3 linked regions of the Pelodiscus sinensis genome follow. Each later gene encodes a partner of the first gene's protein in a complex. Links are inferred from orthologs where the notes say so. Each region holds a gene or a part of one and is shown in the gene's direction. Other genes may lie near its edges.

Region 1 (7,502 bases):
ACCCCTCCTTCTGAGGGGCCAATGCAAGGTCTCTGTCTGGGAGCTTCCCCTTTCTGGCACTGCCCATGAGCCCTAACTGGGCAGCAGGATTTAAGAGGATTTTCTAGGATCTGTGTTGGGAGGCTCGACTAGGTCTTGGTGTTCTGTATAAATCCGCTGATCTGATTAACCTTTGTGTGCTCCCGGAGCTGCTCCCTGGCACTTGCATCCCTGCTTGTAGGGAGGTGGAAGGAGGCCTCTGTATGCCTGGGCCCCAGGGATGGGCTCAGAGGGGGGTTGTTCTTGGTGGGCAGGGTTGCTTTAGACTAGGAAGTGGACCACAGTGACAGTGCATTTCTCCCCCATGGCCACTAGGGGAAGCCCTCTAACCCTTTGGACATAGGGAGCTGCTTCCCATTAAGGATCTGGAGGAAATGACAGAATGGAGCAGCCCCTGGGAGAGAGGAGCAAGGAAGTGGGTAAAGGGACCCAGTGTGCTGAGCTCTGTGGGGGGCTGCACAGTTGCTCTCACATCTGTTTCCTGCCCTTAATGTCCGTTGTGCCCCTCTATCTCTTTCAGAACCTGCGCTGGAAAAACTCCACCCGCTTTGTGTGGACAGATGGGCTGCAGGCCCTCTTTGTGTTCCAGCGGCTGGGTAAGAGACAAGCTCCGCTCTGGACCCTTCAACTCCCCCAAGCAACCACCCACAGACACCTAGACTCAGGGAGAGCTACCAGAAAGCTGGCCCCATCTGCCTTCCCTGCTGTCTCCCAGGCTGGGATCTGGGGTTTGTTAAGGAATGGCATCTCTGTTCCCCTGAGCCGTACCAAACCCTTCCCATGGGGGCTGGATCTCGATGAGGCTCTGCCTGCCCTGGTGGTCAGCAAGACACACTGGGGTGATCCAGCAGACAGAGGAGGGGGTAGGGGTGAAGACATTCTGAACGGGTTGAGCTGTCTCATCTTCCTCTTGCTTTCCCCAGCGGCCGTGCTGTACTGCTACTTCTACAAGAGGACGGCCTTGCACCTGGGTGACCCCCGCTTCTACCAGGACTCCCTATGGCTGCGCAAGGAGTTTGCTCACATCCGCAGCTGATGGCTTCCCCTCGGACCCAGAGCCATGGCCGGTCCGTGGCTGCTCCCTGTTGGCTGGCACAAAGCCCCCTTTCCTCTTTATCCAGAACAGTCCACCCCCAGCCCTACACACAGCTTGCTTGCCGGCTGACCAATGGGGTCCTGTTGGTATCAACCCCTTTCAGCTCTGCTTTGCATATCTGGTGGGATGAGGTGCCAGGACTCAGCCTGCCCTAGCTGTACCTGTGGGAACTCTATCCTGGTGGTAGAACTTCCTTTTGTACCTGCGTATTTTTATAAGTTATGAGACAGTAAATTGGCTCCCTTTTCCAGAAACCTCCTTGTGTGTTTGCATTTTTTGGGTGCACCCTCCTTTCCCCAGGCCCTGTACTGTACTGAGGGCATATGCCCCACTATGCTCCCCCTCGCTCCAGCATTATTGTGTCCTAGCCCACATTGCAGCTAATTCTACTGGGGACAGGAGCCCAGTGGCCAGGACACCCTCCCTGCAGCTGCTGAGCTGCCTGTGGTGTTTAGTCATTCCCCAGTCATGGATCAGAGCCCTGCAGAGCTAGGCACTATAGTAACACAGAACAAAGATGGTCACCGCCCCAAAAGAGCTGACAATCTAAGCAGAAGACAATAAGATCATACCCTGTCACCCTGACTAGCAGTATGTGTGCCATCTGCACAGTAGGTGTTACTGCATGGGTTGATTTCCTCTGCCATTCTGCATCTGAAGGATGCAGAGCCTTAGTAAAGGCCAGGGCAGAGGTGTGGACTGGGAATGGCACTGTAACATACAGCCCATGTATCCCATGCTACTCAGTCTTGGAAGCATGGGTGGTGAGTTATATGGGTACATGGAGTCTGGGCACTAGGAATGTTCCTGGGTCTTGTCCCTGATCCCACCTGCCATCTCTGTGGACCTCCCCTGAAGCATTCCCCAGTCCAACCTGCAGCCCTTGGGCAATTTAAAACTGCCCCCCCATCACCACTACCAGTGGCAGTGCAGCAGGGCTACAGTGGCTTCTGGCCACTTGTTCCATGTGGCTGCTGGCACATGCGGCTCCACAGAGGGGAGGTGTCTCTGTACACTGCCCCCTTCCTGTGTGGTCCATGGGAAGCTGCCGGGATGGTACTGCCAGAGAGGAGTGCCCCTGGTAAGCACTGCACCCCAACCCCTCCCTCTGCACTCCTCCTTTGCCCCACCCCCTCCCCAGTCTTTTCTCCCACCGCCACTACTCCCTCCAACTCCCAGACTACTCCTTCCTGCATTCTCCCTTCCAGCCCAGAGCCTGTACGCAAGCACACAGACTCCTGCCCAAAGCCTGCAGCCCAGATACTCTTCCACACTCAGAGCACAACCCCTCACCTCCCTCCTAAAGCATGCATGTCCTGCACCTCATTCCCTTGCACCCAACACTCAAACTCCCTCCCAGAGCCTTAGGCTGGTGGGGAAGTGACTTTGGGCTGGGGAGGGGTGCGGGCATTGTGGACATCTGCAAAATTGCTGCCCTGCTTGGCAGGGCAAGAACATGGAGCACTTGCTAGCCTAACGAGCTCAGATTAGAAATAAGCTCAGGTTCCCTTTAGGTTGCCAATGCACTGTGTTTTCAGCACTGTTTTATTTCCAAGTTGCCTATTCCCGAGGAGAAAGGGCCTGGGTAGCAGAGGGAGTACAGCTCAGGAGTTAGAAATAAATATCATAATGAAGAACCATGTTATTTCCTTTCTCCAGACAGGCTGTGGGGCTGCACTGCATGGGGGGAAGTGGAGAGGACTGTTGGACGATGACCCCATTATGCTGCCTGGGGAGAAGGAAGGGGGGGTCACTGGCAATGTTCCCTCTTTTTTTTTTTTCATCCATATGCAGAATACATTTTGTTAAGTGTCTCCACCAGTAGAAACACATGTGCACCACCAGTAGAAACACATGCTGCTGACTGGGTGCTCTGCTAATTAGCTGGGTGGCACCTGATTTTCAGCTTACAGGGAACACTGGACTGGTGAGCAATGGGTATTACACCAATGGAGGAGTAGGGTTGGGATGCTGAAGGAGGGGGCAGGGACTCATCAGAAGCTGTGCCAGTGGTACTGTAGTCACCAGCCTTGCTGTTTGGCAATTGATGGGAAATCAGGGTTCATATGGGACAATGAAGGGAGTGTGTACCATGTAATGCCCCCAATATTAGCCATGAGCCCCCAGATCAGAGGAAGAGCCAATGGTAGTGTTAACTCTTTGATAGGCTCATAGAACTGGAAGGAACCTGGAAAGATCTAGTCCAACCCCCTGCACTCACAGAAGGACCAACCACCATCTAGAACAGGAGTGGGAACCTTTTTTGGGTCAGGGGCTGCAGACCCACAGAAAAATCAGTTGGGGGCTGCACACAAGTGAGAAGGAAAAAAAACCTAAGATGCAGAAAGACACTTCACTTTCCCCTGTGTCTTGGTGGCCAGATCCAAGCAAGCTGGGGGCTGCATCTGGTCCCTGGCCTTAGGTTCCCCACCCCTGATAGATGCCCTTCCAAACCGCTCTTAAATATCCCCAGTGATGAAGCTTCCACAACCTCCCTAGGCAACTTACTCCAGTGTTTAACCACCCTGACAGGAAGTTTTTCCAAATGTCCAACCTAAATCTCCCTTGCTGCAATTGAAGCCCATTGCTTCTTGTCCTATCCTCAGAGGCCAAGGAGAACAATTTTTCTCCCTTCTCCTGCTAACACCCTTTCAGGTACTTGAAAACTGCTACTGTAGCCCACCCAGCTAGGCTATGTCTACACTGGCAGGTTCTTGTGCAAGAATCTGCAGAGCATCCACACTGCCCACCCTCTCTTGTGCAAGAAGATTTACAGTACAGCGTAGTGAGAGAGGGCTTCTTGCGCAAGAGCTATGCTCTTTTTTAACAGGTGTAAGCCCTCTTGCGCAAGAGGGCAGTGTGGACGCTCGGCAGGGGTTTCTTGCACAAGAAAATGGCCACTGGAGCTTTCTTGCACAAGAGAGCATCCACACTGCCATGGGCGCTCTTGCGCAAAAGCACCGCTCGCACATGGCAGTGGGGATGTTTTCTTGAGCAAGACTTCTTGCACAAGAACCCTTGCACAAGATGTTCTTGTGCAAGAAGCTGCGAGTGTAGCCCTAGCCCTAGTGTGGTTCGCTGTCCCAGGTAGTGGCACTTGGACCACTGGCAGGGAGAGATGAGAACAAGGGAGCTCCACAGCCTCAGCTGGGTTTGCAGCTCAGGGCTCCAGGTCCAGGTCCCCATAGGGGGGGGGAGCTACATGCTCATGTTGGGGAGCACAGCGCCCCAGCTCCTGCAGCCAGAGGGCGGGGTAGGGCACGAGACACCCCCTCCCCCTTTAAACCAGCACTGGGGGCGGAGTCTTCGCTCGCCTCGGGCTGAGCTCGCGGCGCGGCGCCCGGCGGGTCCTCCAGCACCATAGAGCGGCGGGGCTGAGCCGGACGGAGCGGCGCAGGGCACCGGCCGCTCTGGCCCCCGCACTTCCGCTTCGCCGGCCCGCGTACCCGGAAGCGATGTCGCTGGGTGACAGTTTCCATGGCGATGGAAGATGGCGCTCAGAAGTAAGTGCCGGGCTGGGGGAGAGGAGCGGGGGCGGTTACGGATTCCTCCCCCCTCCCCCTCCCCCTCCCCCTTCCCTCAGGAGCCTTCACCGAGCGCGGGGGGGGGCGGCGCCACGTGACCCTCATTCATGTGGGAAAGGCACGTGACCTCCCCATCTCCCACCCTCGGGGCGGTCCGTCCCCCTCCCCCTCCGCTAGCTGGGGCGCCACGTGACCCCACGTCCCTGCTCTCCCTGGGGCTGCCACATGCCCCTCCTCCGGGGGGGGGGGCAGGGCGGTGTCACGTGAGCCCCATCGGAGGGGGGTGGCCTTTGACCTTTCCTGGGGGGGGAGGGGCGCATGTGTCCCAACCCCGGCACCATGGGGGGGGGCACCTGCCTCCCCTTGCCCCACCCCATGCACGGAGCCAGCGCAGGGGTCAGGCCAAGGAGTGGGAGGGCTCAGGGCAGGAGATGGGGGAGCTGGGGGCTGGGCTGCTCCAAGGGCACTGGGGCGACACTCACTCACTTTCACCTTTGGCGTTAGCGCAGTTCAGGGTCTTCTGGCTTCCTCTGCCCATTTTGGGAGAAGACTGAGGCCAGCAGACTTGTCTGGGGAGTGGCACCTTGCCCACTCATGCTGTTCATCCCCCAGGCCGTCAGCTCTCCTCCACCCCGCTGGAAATCCTGCTCTTCCTTAATGGGTGGTATTACGCCACTTACTTCCTCCTGGAGATCTTCATATTTGTCTATAAAGGTGAGTTCCCTCGGCTGCCATCTCAGATCACCAGGGCCATGGAACTGCCTTTAGCAGCAGGGGCTGCTGTCTGGGCTGTGGCATCAGGTATCCCAGGACAAGCCCAGGGGAGTGTCATTTGACTTAAACGCTTTGGCCAGCCCCACTCCCTCGCAGGGCTGCATCTGATGCAGGGTAGGGTTGTAATAGTACAGTAAATTAACCAATAAGCAAAAGCTTATAGGTTAATACTACAGACTACATGCATTTTCTGCCCCTTGCCAGTAAATGTTTTAGCAGGCTGGCCAGCAGCCTGGCTCAGTCCTGGCTTGCACTGGGTCCGGGACCTACCCCCTTCTGGCTCTGCATTTAAAACGTATTAGATGCCAGGCAGCCCGGCTCAGTTCTGTATCAGAGGCAGCAGTACAACGTGGCAGGCAGTTCCCACCTGGCAACCTATGCTGCTGCCTCTGATAGAGACACAGCAGCGTGTGGTAGCAGGGGGCTCCTCGGGAGTGGGGCCAGAGTGCACTGGCTGCCAGCCCCAGCCTGGAGACTATAGAATAGTTGACTAACCGATAGGAACTCATGAGGTTAATCGACTATTTGGTTAACAAATATTTAACAACCCTAGTACAAGGAGGTGTAAAAAGAAGTCATTAACATTTTACTGGGCAAGGACTGGGACCTTTAGATGAGCCTGTCTGTGTCCTTGCTGGACCTCTCTAGGGCTGTCCATGAGACTTGCGGGAAAGTTTGAGGGTCTTGTGCTCCTCCTGAAACAGGTGACTTTTGTGTCCTTAGGGCTGCTGTTACCATACCCCTCTGCCAACCTAGCCCTGGATCTGGTCATGCTCTTCCTCTATCTCGGCATTGAAGTCACCCGGATATTTTTTGGTGAGTGCCTAGGACTAATGGCCAGCTCTGGAACAGCAAGGCAAGTTGCCCAGGCTGGTACCCTGAGTTCAGTGGACTGCCAAGCAGTCAGTACAACTCCCTTTTGTTCACAACTTGGAGATGGATCAGTGCCTAGAACTGGAGAGCTCTTTGCCTGAGCCAGCCAGCCCCCTCGCCCAGACCAGATTGGAGCCAGATCCCTGGAAAGGAAATGCCCTTGTCCCATTCCCAGCCCCCTGCCTGGGGTTGAATTGGAGCCTGTTCCCTAAAGGGGAGAGGGCTGTGTAAACCATTCCCCAGCACTCTGCATGCATGGATGCCTGCAGGGTGGGGAGCGGTTGCCTCACACACTGTGCCATGTGGCAGGCTCCAAAGGGAACTTGTGCCAGCGGAAGGTGCCGCTCTCCATCAGCCTGGCCTTGACATTCCCGGCAGCGGTGATGGCAGCCTATTACCTGCTGCTGCAGACCTACGCCCTGCGGCTGGAGGCCATCCTCAACGCCATCCTGCTGCTCTTCTATGCCGTCGAACTGCTCCTGGGCATCCTCACCCTGGCCTCCTTCTCCAGGTACCCCTCCCCTGCTGCCTCCTGCCTTGGGAGGCAGTGGAAGATTGAGTGGCAGAGAGAGGGGCTGGAGTGCACAAACTGGCTGGGAGGGAGACTGGATCTCAGGGTGAAAACAAGCTCTGGGGCTGGAGCGGGCATAAATAGGGGATGGGCAAAGTGGGGAGAGAAAATGGTGCTGACACCCAAGACAGGCAGTTCCTGTATGTGCCTAGGGATCAGGACTTCTGGGTGCCATTCCCGATTGCCCCTGCTTGTTTCCTCACCTGCATGCCTCTCCTCTGATGGGCTGCCTCTCCCCAGGATGAGGACAGATTCTTGAGAGAGAGAAGCCAGTGGGGTGACAGGACTGCCCAGGGTTGTGAGGGAAGCTCCCCTTAGCCAGAGCCCAGTTCAGGGTGAGGTTGGAAGCTACCACAGGTTTGCTAGTGATGGCCAGGCTCATTGCTGTTTATCTCCCTCTAGGGTGGACTCGTACTGAGGCTTGTTCCAGGCCAGACAAGGCTACACATTGCCTGGGGCCGGAGGCCACACATTCGCTCCCTACATGGCTGGTCTGATGGCAGCCTCTCAGTCCTTTGGCGTTAGATCCAGCTGCAGCCTCATTCTGCATCAGCCCCGGCCAGGCAGAGAGCCACCGCCGGGGTGCCCAGCGGCTTGGAAAGAGACTTTAATTCACTTCCCAGAC
Region 2 (7,107 bases), on another chromosome or scaffold:
TGTCACAGGTAGGGTTGCCAGATGGTTTCAACAAAAATACCGGACACACTTAACATTACATCACAATCTATGTTATCAAGGCTTGACAAATGGCGGTGAAATCTACTCGCCAGCCCCGCAATGTGCATGCGCAAGACCCGCATTGTGCAGGCACATGCTGCTAGTGAACGGGGTGACCGGCTGAAATCTACTTGTCACAGGTGAGTAGAAACAGCGATTTGTCAAGCCCTGTATATTACATCTTATTTAGAAAATACCGGACATTAATATTTTCTTATTTATATTTTCTCAATTTGCTTCCCGAACAGAAAGCTCAAATACTGGACTGTCCGGGTCAAAACCGGACACCTGGCAACCCTAGTCACACGGTCTTTCCTGAAGTGCCCAGCAGCAGAAAACGGTGTACAGATGAAGAATTTAGCCTCTTCCTCTCACCTGTGATTTTTGGAGAAGAGGGAAGGCCAGGAACATAAGAACTGTTATACAGCATCAGCTCCGCTGCAAACCTCACCCAGTATTCTGCCTGGAACCGTGCACCAGTGCTCAAAGCTTCAGAACAAAATGCAAGAAACCCTGCCATGGATGATTATGGAATAAATCTCTTCCTAGACCCATGGACATTGGCTGTCTACTACATTATTGGAATTTTCCCAAATAGCGGAAGGGGGATAGAAAACAACTGCAGTTTATGAGATATAAAAATCAAAGTGTGGGTCAGCTAGAGGTCAGTGATTTTAAAATCAGATCATGCCCCTCATACCCTTAGGTTTGCATTTCACACTTGCATGGGGAAACTCTGACATCTAGTGGCCTCTAAGGGTGTGTCTCGACTACAGGTTTTTTTTTTTTTTAAAGTAGCTTTTCGAAAAAACTTCATCTGCATCTAGACTGCAGCCGCATTCCTTCGAAAGTAAATCAAAAGAATGCGGTAGTTTTTTTTCAATTGCGGTAAACCGCAGTATATGAGGTATAACGCCTTTTTTTGAAGTATTTTTTCGAAAAAAGGCGCTATTGAATGCAAACTGTGCTTTTTCGAAAGAGAGCGTCTAGACTTTCTTTCGAAAAAGCGGCTCGCTTTTTTGAAAAATCTGCTTGTAGTCTAGACGCTCTCTTTCGAAAAAGGCTTGTAGTCTAGATGTAGCCTCAGGCTCATCACATGAGCATGGCTCTGCCAGCCCATCTGAGTGGACCCCCCGCCAGGTTTGCACAGTCCACGCTACCTGGACTTCACTGCTGTTGTTATTCAAGCTAGCTCGATCAAAGCTAGCTCAGGTATGTATGTGTACATAGACTGCAATCACACCTCTGATGGCAGCATCCATATATTCTACTCGGTGCTATGGAAATCATTTGGAGGAGGTCCCTGCTGATCGGAATTTTCCATGGCATAGAAGCACTGCACCAGAGTCAAAGATGAAGGACAGAGACTACAAAGTTCATGGAACACAAGGCCCGGACCATGTTAGAGTAGTTGGCATAGTGTAGTGTATGGATCCTGGGTGCAGAATCCCCCGATGCAGTTGTACAGCTCCCAGTGGGGCCTCTAAAAAAGAAAAAACTGACTCCATTTCACATTTTATCAAAACTGGTTGATAAATATAGGAAATATTGGGGGGGAAAGATTCTCTCTAAAAATAACAAGCAGTCCTGTGGCACCTAAGCCCTGGTCTACATGGGGAGTTATTTCAAAATTACTCCCCTTATTTTGAAATAATAAGCGGTGCATCCACACGACCAAACCCGTTATTTCGAAATAATAACTCCTGCTTTTCACGAGGAAAAACGCTTCTTTCAAAATAGTTATTTCAAAATAATGGTACTTTGGATGCTCCACTGCTGCTATTTTGAAATAATTACTCCCCAGAGTAATTTTTAAGTAATTACTCCCCTGTAGGGAATAATTCTGGACACGCTGGATGCAGGTGAAAACAAGATGAGGATTTATTGTACACCAGCACTGGTGGAGTACCAACCAGGGGTTAACCTGGAGAGCACTAGTTAATGAAAATATTACATTGAATTATCTAGGCAGCAGGTGGGCGGAGTAGAAGCAATGTCATAGGTCCTAGCGGCAAGACATAATGAGCACATAAGCCAATAAACTACAAAGGTTAGACAGTATCTCCGCCCACCACCAATTAAACGTCTTATCAATGATACAGATAGTTATTCCTAACAAGCTAAATAAGCCAACATAAACAAAAGACATGTTGATGGCAACTTTGTTTGCTGTAATTAAGATTGTAGAATGATTACTGCTTCACCTTGGTGTGGTCCTTGGGATCCAGGTTTATCATCTAGAATTAAAGGAGACAGTGAGAACGACTTCCGTGAAGTTTGTTTTGGTACCGGCCAGGGTCTTATTGGAGCGAGGTCCTCTTGGAATGTGGTTGCCAAGGAAACCAGGGTCATGTTAGCTGCTTGTTCTGTGTTTCCAGGCCTTGCCTCAAATTTAGGATTTGAATGAGAGATCTTAGCAAGGTACCATGGACTGCTTCAGTTTACCCCTACATCCCCAGTGCTTCCTGGGGCTCCAAGTTGAGGTAGCACATCCACACAGAGGGAGCCTACCTTGGACTAATTTCAAGACTTCCCTGTAGGGTGGACACACTATTTCAAAATAAGTTATTTTGAAATAATTTCCTAGTGTAGCCATTTCAAGTAACACCCACTTCATTAGATGAGCTTGACTGGAGCATCTAAAGAAGTGGGTTTTACCCACAAAAGCTCATGATATTATATATTTATTAGTCTGTAAGGTGTCACAGGACTACTTGTTGTTTTTAAAGTTACAGACTAACACAGCTACCTCTCTGAGCCAAATATGACACGGCTACCTCTCTGTCAGATGTGACAAAAATATACACATCTGGCTACGCAAATACTCTTACTCTGTCCTTACCCTTCACTAATTGCTCATTATTGACAGGCGGGAAAAATTAAAAAACAATAACTGCCCTTGTACAATTAGTATTTTTACGAGTACGTTTGTTATCAGTCTCCTAAGGCAACTTTTCTGACTGTGCTTTCATAACTTATTTAAATAATTTCACTACCAAGAAAATTGGGGAAAATGTGAGGTCGGAGACAGGAGCATCATTAATCCTGCTACGGTCACACTTATATGGTACTCATCCTAGGAGTGATGTCATGTGTGGCATCTCTCGTGACTGGTAACAGCAGGAAGGCCACCATCTTTTGTTCACAGTCCAGCATGCTCAGTCATTGCTTCTGTTTGTCTTTGTTTCTGTAAGTGTGTGTGGGTTCTTTCTTCCTATGCTCTGTACATGTGTACAATGGTGTATTTTAGGGCGCATGCTGCTTTTTGGTTCATGCTTCACGTGATTGACTTTGAAAGTCACTGTCTCATGAATCTGGGTCAAATGGAAGGATACGTTTGTGTAATGGTGAAAACAGAAATTGTTTAAAAATAGAAGAAAATGCTTAAAAAGGAACATTAATCTTATGAAATAAACGAACGCAAATTCTGCCACGTCAGCTTGTAGCGTAGGGCTCACACTGGTGCCCTTTCCGTGCATTTGCAGTGGTGGTGTAGCCAGGGTGGAGACAGGATGTGAGAGACGGCACCCCACTTTCCCTGGGGAGGGCTCCCTCTCCTTTGGGGGCTGCCCCCCACTTCCCCTGGGGGGGCTCCCTCTCCTTTGGGGGCTGCACCCCATTTCCCCTGGGGGGGCTCCCTCTCCTTTGGGGGCTGCCCCCCACTTCCCCTGGGGGGGCTCCCTCTCCTTTGGGGGCTGCACCCCACTTCCCCTGGGGGGGGCTCCCTCTCCTTTGGGGGCTGCCCCCCACTTCCCCTGGGGGGGTTCCCTCTCCTTTGGGGGCTGCCCCCCACTTCCCCTGGGGGGGGCTCCCTCTCCTTTGGGGGCTGCCCCCCACTTCCCCTGGGGGGGCTCCCTCTCCTTGGGGGAGCTACTGAGCTGGGGGAGTCCCCTTCCCCTTCCTGGGGTGACGTGTCGGGGTTTTACCCCCGAGATTCCGCCCCGCCCCGCCCCGCCCCCCGCGCTGCGCTGGCAGGAAGTTTGTCCCGGCCGCCTCGCCGTCCGGTATCCAAGGCGGGCCGGGGAGAGCGGCCCCTAGCAACGGGCCGGGATCGGCCTCCGGCGCCATGGCAGCCGCCGGCGGCCCCACGGTCTTCCTGCTCATGGTGACCGGGCAGATCGAGAGCGCCCAGGTGAGCGAGTCCCCCCCGCCCCGCCCCGCCCCGGCTGGCGCCTGGGGGCCACGGTGAGGGGCGCGCTGGAGCAGCCTCGCTCCGGGCTCTCCAGCATGGATGGGGGAGCGTGGCCCTGTGCCCCCCCCGCACAGCCCCCCCCGGCTGAGAGCTCAGCCCCCCCCGCACAGCCCCCCCCCGGCTGAGAGCTCAGCCCCCCCCCCCGCACAGCCCCCCCCGGCTGAGAGCTCAGCCCCCCCCCGCACAGCCCCCCCCGGGCTGAGAGCTCAGCCCCCCCCCCCCGCACAGCCCCCCCCCCGGCTGAGAGCTCAGCCCCCCCCCCGCACAGCCCCCCCCCCCGGGCTGAGAGCTCAGCCCCCCCCCACCGCACCAGCCCCCCCCGGCTGAGAGCTCAGCCCCCCCCCCCGCACAGCCCCCCCCCGGCTGAGAGCTCAGCCCCCCCCCCCGCACAACCCCCCCCGGCTGAGAGCTCAGCCCCCCCCCGCACAGCCCCCCCCCCGGCTGAGAGCTCAGCCCCCCCCCCGCACAGCCCCCCCCCGGCTGAGAGCTCAGCCCCCCCCCCCGCACAGCCCCCCCCCCGGCTGAGAGCTCAGCCCCCCCCCCCGCACAGCCCCCCCCGGCTGAGAGCTCAGCGCCCCCCCGCACAGCCCCCCCCGGCTGAGAGCTCAGCGCCCCCCCCGCACAGCCCCCCCCCGGCTGAGAGCTCAGCGCCCCCCCGCACAGCCCCCCCCCCGGCTGAGAGCTCAGCCCCCCCCCGCACAGCCCCCCCCCCGGCTGAGAGCTCAGCCCCCCCCCCGCACAGCACCCCCCCGGCTGAGAGCTCAGCCCCCCCCCCCGCACAGCCCCCCCCCCGGCTGAGAGCTCAGCCCCCCCCCCGCACAGCACCCCCCCCCGGCTGAGAGCTCAGCCCCCCCCCCGACAGCCCCCCCCCCCGGCTGAGAGCTCAGCCCCCCCCCCCCGCACAGCCCCCCCCGGCTGAGAGCTCAGCCCCCCCCCCAGCACAGCCCCCCCCCGGCTGAGAGCTCAGCCCCCCCCCCCCGCACAGCCCCCCCCCCGGCTGAGAGCTCAGCCCCCCCCCCGCACAGCCCCCCCCCCGGCTGAGAGCTCAGCCCCCCCCCCCGCACAGCCCCCCCCCCGGCTGAGAGCTCAGCGCCCCCCCCCGCACAGCCCCCCCCCCCGGCTGAGAGCTCAGCGCCCCCCCGCACAGCCCCCCCCCGGCTGAGAGCTCAGCGCCCCCCCGCACAGCCCCCCCCGGCTGAGAGCTCAGCGCCCCCCCGCACAGCCCCCCCCCCGGCTGAGAGCTCAGCCCCCCCCCGCACAGCCCCCCCCCCGGCTGAGAGCTCAGCCCCCCCCCGCACAGCACCCCCCCGGCTGAGAGCTCAGCCCCCCCCCCCGCACAGCACCCCCCCCCGGCTGAGAGCTCAGCCCCCCCCCCGCACAGCCCCCCCCGGCTGAGAGCTCAGCCCCAGCCCTCCGCACAGCCCCCCCCGGCTGAGAGCACAGCCCCCCCCGGCTGAGAGCTCAGCCCCCCCCCCCGCACAGCCCCCCCGGCTGAGAGCTCAGCCCCCCCCCGCACAACCCCCCCCGGCTGAGAGCTCAGCCCCCCCCCGCACAGCCCCCCCCCCGGCTGAGAGCTCAGCCCCCCCCCCGCACAGCCCCCCCCGGCTGAGAGCTCAGCCCCCCCCCCGCACAGCCCCCCCCCGGCTGAGAGCTCAGCCCCCCCCCCGCACAGCCCCCCCCCCGGCTGAGAGCTCAGCCCCCCCCCGCACAGCCCCCCCCCCCGGCTGAGAGCTCAGCCCCCCCCCCCGCACAGCCCCCCCCCCGGCTGAGAGCTCAGCGCCCCCCCGCACAGCCCCCCCCCGGCTGAGAGCTCAGCGCCCCCCCGCACAGCCCCCCCCCCGGCTGAGAGCTCAGCGCCCCCCCCGCACAGCCCCCCCCGGCTGAGAGCTCAGCGCCCCCCCGCACAGCCCCCCCCCCCCGGCTGAGAGCTCAGCCCCCCCCCGCACAGCACCCCCCCGGCTGAGAGCTCAGCCCCCCCCCCGCACAGCCCCCCCCCCGGCTGAGAGCTCAGCCCCCCCCCGCACAGCACCCCCCCCCGGCTGAGAGCTCAGCCCCCCCCCCGCACAGCCCCCCCCGGCTGAGAGCTCAGCCCCAGCCCTCCGCACAGCCCCCCCCGGCTGAGAGCACAGCCCCCCCCGGCTGAGAGCTCAGCGCCCCCCCGCACAGCCCCCCCCCCGGCTGAGAGCTCAGCCCCCCCCCGCACAGCCCCCCTCCCGGCTGAGATCTCAGCCCCCCCCGCACAGCCCCCCTCCCGGCTGAGAGCTCAGCGCCCCCCGCACAGCCCCCCCCCGGCTGAGAGCTCAGCGCCCCCCCGCACAGCCCCCCCCGGCTGAGAGCTCAGCCCCCCCCCGCACAGCCCCCCCCCGGCTGAGAGCTCAGCCCCCCCCCGCACAGCCCCCCCCCGGCTGAGAGCTCAGCCCCCCCCCGCACAGCCCCCCCTCCCGGCTGAGAGCTCAGCGCCCCCCCCGCACAGCCCCCCCCCCGGCTGAGAGCTCAGCCCCCCCCCGCACAGCCCCCCCCGGCTGAGAGCTCAGCCCCCCCCCCGCACAGCCCCCCCCCCGGCTGAGAGCTCAGCCCCAGCCCCCCGCACAGCCCCCCCCCGGCTGAGAGCTCAGCCCCCCCCCGCACAGCCCCCCCCCGGCTGAGAGCTCAGCCCCCCCCCGCACAGCCCCCCCCCCCCGGCTGAGAGCTCAGCGCCCCCCCCGCACAGCCCCCCCCCCCCGGCTGAGAGCTCAGCCCCCCCCCCGCACAGCTCCCCCCGGCTGAGAGCTCAGCCTCAGCCCCCCGCACAGCCCCCCCCCGGCTGAGAGCTCAGCCTCAGCCCCCCGCACAGCCCCCCCCCCCGGCTGAGAGCT
Region 3 (8,035 bases), on another chromosome or scaffold:
GCTTTTGGGCCAATACCCCTCCTCGTCCAGCCCACATGCTGTCCCAAAGACTGTGCTGAGTGAGAGGGGAATCAGTGTCTCTGATGACCTTGGAGGGACTCTAGAGTCACTCTGGAGTAAGCGAGAGGGAAATTAGTACTTCTGACACCAGCAGAGTGACTCCTGATTCACATGGAGGATCGGTGCCCAAGCCCTGGTAGGGGGCTGGCAGCACATGGCTCTCTGTGCCATGATGGTAGAGTTTGCTCCAGGTCAGATGATGCCAATGCAGCTCAGTCTTGCAGTTATCAATTCCAGCCTGCAGCTACAGACCCATCCTAACCAGGTCGGCCTCATCTCTGGAGCACCTAAATCCTGGCCTGTCGGCAGGATTCCTCCACAACTGGGAGGGTTTGTTAGGTGGAAGGAGAATCAGAGAGTGACTCCTGAACGCTGACCACCCAAGGCCTGTGCCTCTGAACATCAGGGGATGCAATCACCAGCTCCTCGCTGCGACTTGGGGTTCACTCCCCCGGCCCCAGAATTGACCCATACGCAGCCTACTGTGTCACCCACCTGTCCAGCTCATAGATGCCTGCTTGGCATTTCATCTAGGGATGTTAAGGATTCGTCAACTAGTCGCTCCCTCTCTTGCTGCTTCTATCAGAGGAGGAGAGAAGGGGGGAGGGTACTTCAAAGCGGCAGTGCCGCCCTATCGACTAATCAAATAGTCCATGCAAAAATGCATCAACTATTCGATTAGTCATTTACACAATACTTAACATCCTTAATTTTGCCCAGAAAATACCCCTAGGGTTTTTTTACACTACAACGTTAATTCAAACTAACTTAGTTCGAATTAGTTAATTCGAACTAAGCTAATTTGAACTAACGGATCCAGACTAAAAAACTAGTTCGAATTAGCATTTTGCTAATTCAAACTAGCATGTCCACATTTAGTGGACTCTGAACCGGGCTTAAGGATGGCCGGAAGCAGTGCCGGCAGGGCATCAGAGAAGAACTTAGAGCGTGGAGATGCTGTCTCAGGCTAGCTGAGGGCTGTGCTTAAAGGGTCCCGACCCCCACCCCGGACAGACAGTTCTCAGGGGTGCCCCGCTTGCAAAGCAGTCCTGGCTTGGATTGCCTGGACTACCCACACTGGGCACATCACAGCACTCAGCCATCAGCCCGGCTGCACTTGCCGCAGGCTGCCATCTGGGGAGAGGGGGCAATTGGGGGGCTGCAGGAGAGCTTCCACCCCCAGAAGCCCGCAGAGCCAGCCCAGTCCTCCCTCACCTCCTTCCACTTACCCTTCCCTAGCCCCTTTTCTTGATGTACAAAATAAAGATAACATGTCTTCCAAAATGGAATCTGTCTTTATTGAACAAAACAGGGGGAGACTGGGAAAAGGAGGTGGGAGAGGGGAAGAGAGAGGCTGGGAGAGGGGAGGGCAACTAAAATGATCAGGGGTTGGGAACAGGTCCCATATGAAGAGAGGCTAAAGAGACTGGGACTTTTCAGCTTAGAAAAGAGGAGACGGAGGGGGGACAGGATAGAAGTCTCTAAAAGCATGAGTGGGGTGGAGAGGGTGCATACAGAAAAGTTCTTCATTAGCTCCCATAAAGAAGGACTAGAGGACATCAAAGGAAAGGAATGGGCAGCAGGCTTCAAACTAGTAACAGAAAGTTCTTCTTCACAAAGCAAAGAGTCAACCTGTGGAACTCCTTGCTGCAGGAGGCTGTGAAGGCTAGAACTAGAACAGAGTTTAATGGGAAGTGAGATCAAGTCATGGAGGCTGGGTCCATGGAGTGGTATTAGCCAGGGGGTAGGAGTGGTGTCCCTGCCCAAGGTTTGTGGAAGGCTGGAGAGGGATGGCACGAGACAAATGGCTTGATCACTGTCTTCGGTCCATCCCCTCCAGGGTCCCTAGGGTTGGCCGCTGTCGGCAGACAGGCTACTGAGCTAGATGGACCTTTGGTCTGACCCAGTACGGCCATTGTAAGCTCAGGGTCGGGGGTCTCACTGGACCCCCTTGATTCTCTTGCACACCTGCTCCTGGGTGGCCAGGCTGGCAGCTCTCCTGCCCTAGCTGGCCACTTTCCTGTGCCTAGTGCGGAGATCGAGGACGAGGTCCACGATGTCTGCACTAGCCCAGGTGGGTGTTCCCCTCTTGCGGTCCCGGGCAAGCTCCCGGGAGCCGCCAGCCTGGTCCCGGGAAGAGGGGGAGGGCTGGGGGGCATCGGGTGGATGGCTCGATCCATGCCAGGTGCAGGGTCTGCTGGCTGGGTGCTGGCAGGCTTGCACCTGGCACGGGCACCGTAGCCAGCCCGTACCCCTTTAAGGGGTCCAGGGCCGGGAGGGGGGCAGACGAGTTTCCCTGGTGTTGGCCAGAGTGGCCACCAGGAAAAGCTGGGGAGGGCTAGCCTCCCACTAGTTCGAATTAAGGGGCTACATACCCCTTAATTCGAACTAGCTAGTTCGAACTAGGCTTAATCCTCGTAAAATGAGGTTTTCCTAGTTCGAACTATGCGCTCCGCTAGTTCGAATTAAATTCAAACTAACGGAGCACTAGTGTAGCGCCTATGAAATTTAGTTCGAACTAACGTCCGTTAGTTCGAACTAACTTTGTAGTGTAGACATACCCTCCGTCAGCAAGATCTCCATGTCTCGTCTCTCCCAGCAAAAGCACCAATCACTACAAACAGGATTTGAACCTGCTAAGGGAGATCTCAGGGGATTTCAAATTCAGTGCGTTAACCAATCAGCCATCACAGCTACCTAAAAAGCATAATCTCTGCAGTCTGCTGCAGAGAGTCTATTCTATGTGGTTGTGATGAGGTGCTGTGGTTCAGGGTTCTTGTTTTCTAAGCAAGAACATGGGGGAAGGAAAGGGGAGTAGGTAAATCAAAGGGCATTGCGGGGGAGTACATAGACAGATAGGGTGGGAATGTAGAGAGATTCTGTTCCTTAATATTTACTATACAAAAGCATAAATAGATGAAAAATATTTTTTTAGATTTCCGCCCTCTGCCTGTAATCTCAAGACTCAATCATTCTTCTTATGCAGTCAGTGAGGAGCAATTGCTGATGTGTGGCTTTGTATGTTGATTGGAGGATAGCTGGTTTGAAATTATCTTGACCTTTGCTGATCGGAGGGAGCATGGGTGTAAGTCAATTTGTCCAATGCTGATTGAAGGCGGCATGGGTTTAAATAATTTTCCCCTTGCTGATTGGCAGGAAAAAAGATTTAACTTGTTGTTGACTGCCAGATGTTTGGATATAAATACTTGGGCTGTGGCTAGATTGACATGATTTTCCGGAAATGCTTTTAACGGAAAAGTTTTCCGTTAAAAGCATTTTAGGAAAAGAGCATCTAGATTGGCACGGACGCTTTTCCGCAAAAGCACTTTTTGAGGAAAAGTGTCCGTGCCAATCTAGACGCGCTTTTCCGCAAAAAAGCCCCGATCGCCATTTTCGCGAACGGGGCTTTTCTGCGGAAAACAAATCTGAGCTGTCTACACTGGCTCTTTTGCGCAAAAGTTTTGCGCAAAAGGACTTTTGCCTGAATGGGAGCAGCATAGTATTTCCGCAAGAAGCACTGATTTCTTACAGTAGTAAGTCAGTACTTTTGCGGAAATTCAAGTGGCCAGTGTAGACAGCTGGCAAGTTTTTCCAGAAAAGCGGCTGATTTTCCGGAAAAACTGGCCAGTCTAGACACAGCCTTGGAGGGAGTCCAGCAGAGGGCAACAAAAATGATGAGGGGGCTGGAGCATATGACTTATGAGGAGAGGCTTAGGAATTTGGGCTTATTTAGTCTACATCAGTGGTTCCCAACCTTTTTGAGCCCATCCACAGAGGATATGGAGAGAGGGATCTCCTGGCCAAAGCAGCTCCTGCCCTGGCATTCCTCCTGTGGCAGGGCATGGAGCCCTGGGGGAGAAAAAAAAGAAAAGGAAAAGAAAAGAAAGTGAGGATTGGGCCCCACTGTGGGAGTGGGACTGGGAGTGGGGAGAGGGCTGGAGTGTAAATGGCAGTGTAGCTGGTGGCTGGAGGACAGATTGTGCCTCCTGAGGTATCAAAATCCAGTCTCAAGGGCGGGAGGCAGAGTGTGCGTGACTGCTTATGAACAGTGAGCCCTGGGCAATAATGGCCTGGTGGAAAGTCCCAGTCCTGTGGTGGGCCTGTTCTTTTCTTTTCCTAAACTTTCCACAGATCCCCTACAGTACTGGCATGGACACCTAGGGGTCTGCAGACCACAGGTTGGGAACCACTGGTCTGTAGAAGAGAAGAGTGAGGGGGGATTTGATAGCAACTGTCACCTTCCTGAAGGGAGGTTCCAAAGAGGATGGAGAGAGGCTGTTCTCAGTAGTGAGGGATGGCAGAACAAGGAGCAATGGTCTCAAGTTGTGGTGGGAGAGGTCCAGGTTGGACATTAGGAAAAACTATTTCCCTAGGGAGGGGGTGCAATCTCCATCCTTAGAGGTGTTTATGTCCCAGCTTGACAAAGCCCTGGCTGGGATGGTTTAGTTTGGGTTGGTGCTGCTGTGGGCAGGGGCGGGACTCGATGCCTCCCTGAGGTCTCTTCCAGCCCTGGGAGTCTGTTAAACCATTTTGCCCCTTGCTGACTGACAGATACCTGGGTATAAACCGTTTTGTTGCATGTTGATTGGAGGATACCTGGGTATAAATCGTTCCCACTGTCCCTGGATCCTTTCTTTACCGAAACCATTTTTCAGCCTGCCGCAGGGAAGGGCTTCCCAGGGTAACACCCCCAGCTAGAGGCTGAAATAACAAAAAAAAAAACTGGAGATGCCGGGGATTGAACCCGGGGCCTCATACATGCAAAGCATGCGCTCTACCACTGAGCTACATCCCCTACATGGAAACGGTTCCTCCCACAGAGGAACTTCATAGGGCCGCTGCCCTCTTCCTGACCTCAAACAAGATGGCGATTTAGGACTCGTCCTCGCCGTCAGACGGGAAGTTCTCGCGACATCTCCACCCAGCGCGCAGGCGCGCCTCTCTCTATGGGGCGAGGCCAAGGGATGCACGTAGAGGCGGTTGCCTCGGGCAACGTGGGGGCCTAAGCGGGATCACGGCCGCGGGTGGGAGCGCTGAGGGTTCTTTTCTATGAGAGGGGGAGTCCCACGGCGGAGGGTTCCATGGGGGGGAAGAGTGCGGGGAGGAGAGTTCCATGGGGGGAAGAGTGCGGGGGGGGGTTCCATGAGGGGGAAGAGTGCGGGGAGGAGAGTTCCATGGGGGGGAAGAGTGCGGGGGGAGGAGAGTTCCATGGGGGGAAGAGTGCGGGGGGAGGAGGGTTCCATGGGGGGAAGAGTGCGGGGGGGGGGTTCCATGGGGGGAAGAGTGCGGGGGGGGGTTCCATGGGGGGGAAGAGTGCGGGGAGGAGAGTTCCATGGGGGGAAGAGTGCGGGGGGGGGGGTTCCATGGGGGGAAGAGTGCGGGGGGGGGTTCCATGGGGGGGAAGAGTGCGGGGAGGAGAGTTCCATGGGGGGAAGAGTGCGGGGAGGAGAGTTCCATGGGGGGGAAGAGTGCGGGGAGGAGAGTTCCATGGGGGGAAGAGTGCGGGGGGGGGTTCCATGGGGGGAAGAGTGCGGGGGGAGGTTCCATGGGGGGGAAGAGTGCGGGGAGGAGAGTTCCATGGGGGGAAGAGTGCGGGGGGGGGGGTTCCATGGGGGGGAAGAGTGCGGGGGGGGTTCCATGGGGGGGAAGAGTGCGGGGAGGAGAGTTCCATGGGGGGAAGAGTGCGGGGGGGGGTTCCATGGGGGGAAGAGTGCGGGGGGGGGGTTCCATGGGGGGGAAGAGTGCGGGGAGGAGAGTTCCATGGGGGGAAGAGTGCGGGGGGGGTTCCATGGGGGGGAAGAGTGCGGGGAGGAGAGTTCCATGGGGGGAAGAGTGCGGGGGGGGGTTCCATGGGGGGAAGAGTGCGGGGGGAGGTTCCATGGGGGGGAAGAGTGCGGGGGGGGTTCCATGGGGGGGAAGAGTGCGGGGAGGAGAGTTCCATGGGGGGAAGAGTGCGGGGGGGGGGGTTCCATGGGGGGAAGAGTGCGGGGGGGTGTTCCATGGGGGGGAAGAGTGCGGGGAGGAGAGTTCCATGGGGGGAAGAGTGCGGGGAGGGGTTCCATGGGGGGGAAGAGTGCGGGGGGGGGGCTTCCATGGGGGGAAGAGTGCGGGGGGAGGTTCCATGGGGGGGAAGAGTGCGGGGGGGGGGGTTCCACAGGAGGGGGCAATGGAGAAGGAGGTCTCAAGGGGATGGGGGTGCAGATGGTGATGCAGAGATGATGATGGGGGGGTAGGGCAATAGATATGGGAGGTATTGGGGGGGGACTTCATGAGGGAGGGGAGATGTCACCACGCAGTGAGGATGGGGTGAAATGGGGTGCGCCACAGGGAGGCAGCGATGGAGATGGAAAAGGAGCTGGGGTGGTGGAGGAGTGATGGACATGGGGCTCTACTGGGGAGATGATGGGGAAACTCCTCAGAAATATGGTGGGGGGCCTAGTGCTTCCTTTGGTCTCCCCAGTCTGACACCTTTGCTCCCCCCAGTCAGACCTGCCCAGAGGACCCTGACCACGTGAGGGACACGGGCCATATGGCGCTGGTCAGCGGGCTGGTGCCTGCCCGCTTCCTGACCCTCACAGCTCATCTTGTCATCGTCATCACCATCTTCTGGTCCCGGGTAAGAAACCCTGACTGCGCATCCCCCTGTGATCCCCACAACATACACCCTGCACACCCACCTGTGCACCCAGACAATACACACCTATGTGACATCCACCACGTACACCAACACAGCACGCCTGCCTGTCCACGCCAATAACGCACACCGATCTGATGCTTGTGGTGTGCACCCTTATAGAATGACTGCCCGCTCACCCCAAGCATATCCACCCTTCTCATGTTCAGCTGTATCACATGTCCATTCTGAAGGTGCATATCCATCTGATAACCATGCCTATGATGTACTGTACACCCATACAGCATGCCAACTTTGATGCCACACTAACGAATGATGCCTGTAATGCACGCGAAGCCCAACAACGCGCATAACAACAACCATATCTACAGCATACACAGATACAACAAACCCACCCTTACCACGCCTATGACTACAACATGCAACATGCCTGGCCCAGTGATACGCATCCGTGCAACACCCATCCATACCATGCACACCTGTATGACATGCTGTATGCTGTCCTGGCAACACCCGCCTGCCACTATGAGGCACAAATCTGCGACACATTTATAGCTTTCCCAACACACGCACCCCCTCTCCCAGTTTACACAGTCCTCCAACATGCATCCTTGCAGGGCTCCCATCTCACCCATCCAGCATCCTCTTCTCATTCCTCCCCCCCTCCCCCCCCCACACACATACAGTCACTTTCCACAGGTGAGAAGAGCATACAGTGCATGGGCCGCAGGAACCAGGGAGGGGTTGTGGCTGTAGGGAAGTGGGTAGCAACAAGCTGGATCAGGACTCCTGGGTTCAGCCCTTGCTGTGGCAAGGAGGTAGAGGCTAAGGGTGGTTGGGAACTGAGACACCTGGGTTCTTTCTCCAGCTCTGGGAGGGGAATATGAGCTGGTGGGTTAAGGACTCTTGGATTCTTGTCTGCTCCACTGGTGTGCTTTCCCTTGCATTTGCTGTGTTCTTCCTACATCTCCCATGCTGAATTGTATGCTCAGGACGCTGCACCCTGCAGGGCTGACCTCACTGCCTCCTATCTTCCAGGACAACAATGTCCGTGCCTCACTGCCCCTGCAGTACAGCCAGCAGCAGTATGAGCGCCAGGACGTGGAGTGAGTCAGTCAGCCAGGGACCGGGTGTGCCAGAGGTCAACTGGCCTGGCCTGGCAGGGCTTGGGGCCTATCGGGGGGCACCTGGGAGGGGGGGACAGGAAAATGGGCCAGGAAGGGCATGAGGGAGAATATGCTGGGATGGCAGGAATGGGCCCAAAGAGTGGAAGCAGCATGAGACAGTGGGAGAAGGGACAGGGGAGCTGGGCCTGTGGAGAGACTGAGACAGGCAGAACTG

What was found. The genes of interacting proteins can lie anywhere in the genome.
Region 2: TMEM216 (region 1) and B9D1 share a complex: the UniProt entries of both Homo sapiens proteins name them as parts of the tectonic-like complex. The link is inferred for Pelodiscus sinensis from reciprocal best matches to the Homo sapiens genes TMEM216 and B9D1.
Region 3: TMEM216 (region 1) and TMEM107 share a complex: the UniProt entries of both Homo sapiens proteins name them as parts of the tectonic-like complex. The link is inferred for Pelodiscus sinensis from reciprocal best matches to the Homo sapiens genes TMEM216 and TMEM107.

The regions. Positions count from the first base shown.
Region 1 is NC_134714.1:125,525,011-125,532,512, forward strand, and holds the start of TMEM216 (transmembrane protein 216), read left to right. Parts: upstream 1-4,490; 5' UTR 4,491-4,625; coding exon 4,626-4,638; intron 4,639-5,163; exon of another isoform or gene 5,164-5,271; coding exon 5,272-5,373; intron 5,374-6,156; coding exon 6,157-6,249; intron 6,250-6,614; exon of another isoform or gene 6,615-6,615; coding exon 6,616-6,817; exon of another isoform or gene 6,818-7,279; coding exon 7,280-7,295; 3' UTR 7,296-7,502. Other genes in the region: TMEM138 (transmembrane protein 138), read left to right, coding at 560-635, 963-1,075. UniProt on the Homo sapiens protein: Part of the tectonic-like complex which is required for tissue-specific ciliogenesis and may regulate ciliary membrane composition.
Region 2 is NC_134726.1:34,662,265-34,669,371, reverse strand, and holds the start of B9D1 (B9 domain-containing protein 1), read left to right. Parts: upstream 1-4,031; 5' UTR 4,032-4,126; coding exon 4,127-4,192; intron 4,193-7,107. UniProt on the Homo sapiens protein: Component of the tectonic-like complex, a complex localized at the transition zone of primary cilia and acting as a barrier that prevents diffusion of transmembrane proteins between the cilia and plasma membranes.
Region 3 is NC_134734.1:10,821,100-10,829,134, forward strand, and holds the start of TMEM107 (transmembrane protein 107), read left to right. Parts: upstream 1-4,959; 5' UTR 4,960-5,084; intron 5,085-6,543; exon of another isoform or gene 6,544-6,547; 5' UTR 6,548-6,589; coding exon 6,590-6,676; intron 6,677-7,732; coding exon 7,733-7,800; intron 7,801-8,035. UniProt on the Homo sapiens protein: Plays a role in cilia formation and embryonic patterning. Requires for normal Sonic hedgehog (Shh) signaling in the neural tube and acts in combination with GLI2 and GLI3 to pattern ventral and intermediate neuronal cell types.